2 linked regions of the Rattus norvegicus genome follow. The protein of the gene in region 2 interacts with the protein of the main gene of each other region in a biochemical or structural test. Links are inferred from orthologs where the notes say so. Each region holds a gene or a part of one and is shown on either strand. Other genes may lie near its edges.

Region 1 (3,944 bases), on a different chromosome or scaffold from region 2:
GTTCCTAGCACCCACACAGCAGTAACCCAGCGCCCAGGGTTCTGGTGTTCTCCTCTGAAGGCGGCAAGTATTATGTGGTGCACACACATACAGGCAGGCAAAAGACAGATCAAATAAAATTAATAAATCCAATAGTTTTTTTAAAAAATTGTTTTGGACTGGAGAGAAGGCTCAGTGGTTAAGAGCACTTGTTGCTTTTACAGAGGACCCAGGTCTTATTCCCAGCCTCTACAAGGTGGCTCACAACTGCCTGTAACTCTAGTTCCAAAGGATTCGAAGCCCTCTCCTAATTTCTGAAGGCATGAGGGATTCATGTGGTATATATATGTACAGGTAGACAAAATATTCAACATAGAAAAAAAAAAAAAGCACTCACTGCTCTTGTAGAGAACTGGAGTTCAGTTCTCAACACCCACACCGTGGCTCAAAACTGACTGTAGCTTCAGTGGATGCAATGCCCTCTTCTGGCCTCCTTGGACACAAGACATGCCTACGGTGTACATACATGTTTGCAGTCAAAACACTAAGATATATATATATATATATATATGTGTGTGTATATATATATATATATTTATCTGTATATACACGGTCAATTTGTTATATACTTAAATACAGTGCCAATTTGCACCTAGAAACACAAGCAGTGGTTCATTTACTGTGACCTATAATTATAAATTAAGCAGTCATAAAATTATGTACTCTACTTAATTGAAAAACTGAAGAAAGTTAGTAAACTGTTTCTCATTTATTTTCTCCTGGTTTGGCATGTGTTTCTTTCTTTTAAGGGGATGGCTGTTGGGGCAGGGTCTCCATCTAGCTGAGGCCGACCTGAAACTGTAGTCCAGGTTGGCCTCTTAACTCATGGTGATCCTCTTAATTTAACATGGAGAGGACTGGGATTACAGGCAGGAGCCACCACACACATCCTGGCAAGGTCTTTTAATTGCAGTTCTAATTATTTCCATTAATTTAAAAATTACCTACTCATTACGAAACAGAGTCTTATGTAGCCCAGGCTGGTCTTGAATTCCTGCTCCTCCTTCTACCTCCCAAGTGCTGAGGTTACAGGGGTTGCAGGGCCCCTTTCTCAAATCTGTTTATTTTCTGTGTAAATATTTATATCTGCACTCATTTGTTAAGACAATCCCAGCCTTTAAATGGGCAGCTCATATGTAAATAATAAAAAGAAAATGCTTGTTAAAATCTGTTTAGCCTGAGGTTAGAAATAACTGTAAATGTAACAAGCATGAAGTGTGATTGACAACCTAAGATTAAATAATTCTACTAAATAATTTGACATTGTAAATTTTTTTGGTCAAAATTTACTCGATCAATAATTATACCAAAACAGATGTGTAATTTAGCCCCTGCCCATCTATGGTTTTACTCAGGACTTCATGCTTGCTAAGCAAACCTCTACCCAGTAAGCTATACCCCTAGTACTAGGCTTAAGTCAACAGAAGCGGCCCCAAATTTTTACAAAAATAATGTGGTGTATGAGAGAAGCAACAGTAACTGGCTCTGAGCTTTAGTAAGCCAACCAACCTGTTCTAAGTGTTTTAAAATCGGGGTTGGGGATTTGGCTCAGCGGTAGAGCGCTTGCCTAGCAAGTGCAAGGTCCTGGGTTCGGTCCCCAGCTCCGAAAAACAAACAAACAAACAAACAAAAAAAAACTAAGTGCTTTAAAATCAAGTTTTCTTTGACTAGCTCTAAAAATATTAATTTCCCCGTAACTTCGTTTTTACTCCATCTACCGCGTATAAAATTAACAAGGAGGGCAGATAGATGTTCAGTAACGCTCATGATGTTCAGTCCCCACATGACGGTTCCCAGACATCCATAACTCCAGCTCCATCAAAGCCCTCTTCTGGCCTCTGCAGGAACCAGGCACACACGTGGTGCACAAACATACACACAGGGTAAACACTGGTACACATGTAAATAAAATAATAATTTAAAAAAAATCAACAAGGAACTGAGTGTCTCCCGTCAAATCTGTCACACACCCTAACTTACACTTTGGAAAGGCCTTAATTATGGCTAACGGAGAACAGGCTTGTTTCAAATTGATGCTCACTCTCTATTTCTCATTTGAGGCGAAGACCATTTGCTTCTATCAACATGGAATAAATACGGAACGAAAAATCGGTCGTCAACAACCATTAGACCTTCGCAGAACTTTCAGCGACTAAGTTGGGACTGCAGGAGCGCACCTACCACAGGGACATTCATCTCCAGCGGTACCTCTTATTGTCCTGGGACTTACTCCCTACACACCTCTCTCACTCAGAGACGCGAGCATCTAGGAAAGGAAAACTAGGTTACAGCTCCCTGGTGCCACGAGGGTGATCTCAAAGACCGTAGCGCTGCGCCTCTCCCACTTTTGGCCGGGTCTCAGATGGACCCCACAGTCCCGAGGCTCCGAGAGGTCGGCTCTGCAGTATGATCTAAGCCTGTGAGCCCGGCCTGATCTCCGCAGTTCCAGAGCCGCCTTCATCCCAGAAAGATGATGGTGCTAGGCTTCATCCCCGCCAGAGAAGCACTAAAGTACCCTCTCCACGCCTCGGATCCATCGCAAACCCCTCCTTTCTCCCTAGGCCTAGGCCTCCCTCCAGGCCCACTTTAGGGGCTCCTCCTTCGCCCCTGAAACCGATCTAGAACCCGAAAGAGCAAGGCGAGCTCCATCCCACGTCCTCCTCCGCTTTAAGAGCAGCGCCCCGCCCTGGGCCTGGGGACAGGAGGGGGGGGTGACTGGTCAGCTCTGAAGGGCCGGGGCCCCCACACTCACCATCCTCAAGCCGAGTCCCTCCTCCTCCTCCTCCTCCTCCTCCTCCTCCGCCTCCTCCTCCTGCCTCCCCCGTTACCAGGGGTAACTGCTGCGGCGCCGCCCCTGACGTCCCTCGCACGCACAGCGAAGGAGCAGAGCAGCGGGATGGGGCGGGGTTCTGCTCCTCTCTACCCAAAGTGCGCAAGCGCGCCAAAGCACCCGCCCATTGCGCAGGCGGTCTCGGGAGTGGCGGGAGGGCGGGGCGAGCTGGCGAGCGGGCCTGCGGGAGGTGCAAAACCGCCCACGTGGCTGGCCGGAGCCTGTGGCCTGTGATTGGTCGGAAAGGTGGGCGTAGGGCGAGGGGGTGGTTCCCGGGCCTAGCCGCGACACTTCAGTTCTGCTTTCCTAGTCAGCTTCGTCTGGTGGCTGTCGCGGGCTGCATCCCCTCTGGGACCAGGTAAGAGTCCTCAAGTGCAAGCCAAAAGCACAGCTACTCCTATTCCCCGCGCCTCCGAAGGGAGCCTGGCTCCCTTCTGTGGTGGCTGCCAGGCACTGCGTGCTGGACTTGCATCTGTAGAAGCCGCGTGGCGGGAGGGACGGACCAGGGCTCCAGTGGATTCCTCTCTTCTGAACCTCGTTGTCTTCGGGTGTCAGGATTTAGGGCTCAGAAGTTGTGGGCTGAGTGTCTATCTCCAGGATAGGTGATTTCTGCTGGGTTGGGGGAGGTCCCCTGAGAGAGGGCGATAGGCAGGTTAGGAACCAGTCCCTAGCATTGAGGTTAGCCGGCATCGGGAGTGTTAAATTGTCTGGGATCCTCTGGATTTTGGTAAAGCCATGTTGGACTGCAAGCGGGACCACTGGAAAGTTACCCTTACCTTTGTGGCAGGTCGGGTTCTTGACACTGGAGTACAACCTGCCGTCGTGGAAATTGCATTCTTCCTAGTGGAATGTTTCTTATACGAGGTTTAATTTCCTTGCAGCCCTAGGTGTAGATGATAGAGTCCGGACTTGAACTAACTTGTAAACCCTTTATTTTATAGTGTTGCTTGTAAACACTGTGGCTCAGGTAGGAATGCCGTTTGCCCTCCAGGACTGAACTCAGGAGGCAGAGATTTGTACTGGGCAGGCAAGCCTTCTCTGCCACTGAGCTACACTACGTCCCTCTCCTCAGAGC
Region 2 (3,511 bases):
AGATTCAGAACATTCATGACTCATAAATAAAGACTGAGTTGATGGCATTTTTTAAAACATGTTAACATATTAACATCTATATATCTACTCCTGGTTATCTACCAAAGGAGTTTAACTTCATGATTAATCTTTTGAAAATTATATGTAGTAAAAATTCACCATATAAAAGAAATTTGCCCTACAACACAGTGAAGATATTTATTTCTCAGATATTGAATTAACGTTGTGACTAGATAGTGGCAAAGGCTATAGGCATATTTTCTACATTTTACAAAACTTACAGCATGCTTTTACCATACTGGCATAACAAAAGAAAACAACATCTGAAGCCAGATATAATGGCTTAAGCCATTGGAACACAGAGGCAGAAAGATTGTGGGAAGTTCAAGATACAGCCTGCTCTACATAAATAAGTTTCAGGCTAGGTATGGCTACACAGAGAGAGATTCTGAATAAAAAAAATCAATAATGAGTAATGTATCAAAGTTTTAAAATTATACTTTAGGTTCTATAGTTTTAAAACCTGTGCCTCCAATATACTTTGTAGAGTTCAGACATGGATTCTCTGCATTACAGATATGTAATTATAGAGATACTCATTTTTACATTTTGTCTAGAAAAATCATTCCTTTTGGTGTACTTCAAATTTACAACAATCCCTTCAGAAAGAAACTTACTTATCCACTTCTGAAAACTTGATTTTTAAGTTTAAACTGATTCTATTGGATAAATCCTGATCAATGCATCTTCTTACTGGCACACCTACCAACTAAGGAACTACTGCTCTCCCCTCAAATGCTTTTTCAAGGGGAAGCTGCTGTGCAATAACTCTTCTCTACTTAATGACCTCACAGAAAGCCTCTCCTCATAAGTGCTAGAGCTTTTGACATTCCAATCCTCATCTTCTTCATATTATTGAGTCTATATTAGAGTCTATCCCAGTGTCCTATCAATGGCAATGGGGCATGAGCTAATAAGGAGCCCAGTGTGAATGGGGCTGTGATGTGCACTGTCACAGCAGGGTCTAAACATATTCTCAAGTGTCATTTACAACCAATTAAAACTCCAAAGAAGTTTCCTCATTAGGAAAGGCCATGATTCCATATGCAGTACTGTTGTGAGTATGCATAGAAATTGTTTATGATGAAGAATGACAGTTCTTGAGGCAGAGAATTGTATCTATATGCCTTCATTTCCAGCATCAACTATGTTCAATTATTTCTAAGTTGCAACTAATTACAAAGTATGTAAGCAAAGATGTGGAAAACAAACATGCATCATATAATGAATGAAATATGGTAACAACATGACCCACATATAATTGGTGCTAAAGAATGCTTACTGATTTGAACTAGGATGAAAAGTTTTCTGGAGAAGGATTTTGAAGACCGAGTGATCTGCTTCTAAGGCAAGCCTTGTGGAGGCAAGGAGTTGGGGGGACTAACTTAAGGGCTGCCAGTATTTTTAATAATAAATTTGAAAACAAGAAAACCTCGAAAGTCTCCAATGTAGCATGGCCCTCCTATGTATGACTATTTCTCTTCTCTTTCTCCTTACCTCATCAATTAGTTTCCTGGCATTTGCTGTTGTATAATCATCGGCAAATAACACCACGAGACATGATTCATCACTGTACTTCTGTCTCTGACCCCGGGATACAGGAACAATGCTTCTATTGGGATCTGTGGAAATTCGCACAGCTTTGAACTCTTCAGTCGTTGGGAGAGGAACATAGTCTTGAACCACAGCATTTTCTGGCAGAAGGCTCCAGTTGAGCTCTCCGGACACAGGTGTAAAATCATGAACATGACTCCATATGTTATTGAAGATACTGAGGCCTGCATCTTTGAATTGGGCTGCCAATTCAGGGTAGTACCATTGAAAACAGCCAAACTTGATGTTTGTAGAAGATTCAATAATGGGTTGAGTGGCACAGCACAAAAAGACTTCCAACTTTCTACAGTCCCTTACACGAAATTGTTGGCAAGCCAATGTGCACTTGCAATCTCTACAATTTCGGAAAAACACACTGCCTTTCACTGGTCCCAAAAAAATTACACAGTTAGTACAGTCATCAATAGTAATAGTAGCTGAGTGGTCAAAAATATAGATGTTACAGTTCTCACAGTCTTGAATGACAAACTGTTGTCCTGCCACTTTTCCAGGTAAGCGACCTACTGTTTCGTCCTTTAGTCCACTAAACGTGTAATCTTTTGGATCAACCTGCAGAAACAAGACACATTACCTTGAGTATTGTTAACGTTATTCACCAAAACTAAGTAAGTGCCTATGGGATGCCAGGGACAGTTAGTTGTGAATGCTAAAACTTAAGTTCCTCAGTCTCATTTAATAGAAAACATTTGTTTGTTTTCAGTAAATGAGAACAATGAGTGAGGGAAGCGGGAAAGAAACCAAAGTTCAAGGACACATTCACCAAGTGCTATGTGTACTGCCTGGATCCTGCTTCAATCATTTCAACCGTAAGCATCCTTTTTTGAGGCAACTGAGAATAGTCACACATATACACAAAGCCTGTTAGATAACATAAAGAGCTTTTATTTTTCCATTTTCTAAGTGTGATAATGGAACTGAGGGGTCGACTTACCAATTTTAAATAATCTAAAGTTTCTAACCTTGGTTAATATATAACTACCCCCTAGGAAATGCATCCACTCTTTCTGCTATCAAATTTCATTCTTGGGCACACGAACCTAAAGGAAAGCCCATGTGACACTATAATTTGGGTCTTCCTGTGAGTTAATCCAGGTGACATAAGATCACTGCTACTATCAACAGTATTTTGGCATATTTGGGCAAGGTCAAGAATATATTTCTTCAAAACAAATATTTCAATGGAAGTAGATATGTAAGTTGGGCATGAGGTATGCACCTCCAATCCCTGCACTTGGGAAGCTGAGGCAGGAAGATTACAAGACAGGCATTCAAGTCCAGCCAGGGCTACAGAACAAAAGTCTATTTCAAATACAACTGCAAAAAACTCTACTAGGAAATCAAAGCTTATCCTCTGCATCGATCCTAATCAGGACATACTAATTCAGACTAGGATATAGTTCAGTATTACAATGTAGGTTTAGAATGTACATGGCCTTGGATACATCCCTTTAACTGAAAATTAAACAATAAAAGTATAGATGCATACTATTTCAGCTTTCTGATGATTTCCTTGTACTTCAATTTTAAAACATATTTCTTAAAAAAACTTAAATTGGATATATTTCTTTACCCTATTACAAAATGATATTTGGGTCTAAGTTTCTAAATCCTGAGATTCTCATACACCACAGACAATGGCAGAATCTAAAGACACAAAAGCCTTGACATGTTGGTACTTACATCTACAAATTTTAATCAGACATTGCCTGAGCTATTCATCCAGTGTATCAAATTTAGCCATCCTGTTAGGTATTATAAACTTTGCCTCATATAATCTTTTAAATAATAATATCTAGAATATGTCACTCTTGTAAATTTTTAACTGCACTATCAAAAT

The links. The genes of interacting proteins can lie anywhere in the genome.
Region 1: the proteins of Rp2 (region 2) and Arl3 form a complex in vitro, tested with the Homo sapiens proteins (2 studies listed by BioGRID). The link is inferred for Rattus norvegicus from reciprocal best matches to the Homo sapiens genes RP2 and ARL3.

The regions. Positions count from the first base shown.
Region 1 is NC_086019.1:255,385,286-255,389,229, forward strand, and holds the start of Arl3 (ADP-ribosylation factor-like protein 3), read right to left. Parts: upstream 2,803-3,944; 5' UTR 2,795-2,802; coding exon 2,792-2,794; intron 2,304-2,791; exon of another isoform or gene 2,236-2,303; coding exon of another isoform or gene 2,221-2,235; intron 1-2,220. UniProt on the Homo sapiens protein: Small GTP-binding protein which cycles between an inactive GDP-bound and an active GTP-bound form, and the rate of cycling is regulated by guanine nucleotide exchange factors (GEF) and GTPase-activating proteins (GAP).
Region 2 is NC_086039.1:4,456,682-4,460,192, forward strand, and holds part of Rp2 (protein XRP2), read right to left. Parts: intron 2,224-3,511; coding exon 1,558-2,223; intron 1-1,557. UniProt on the Homo sapiens protein: Acts as a GTPase-activating protein (GAP) involved in trafficking between the Golgi and the ciliary membrane.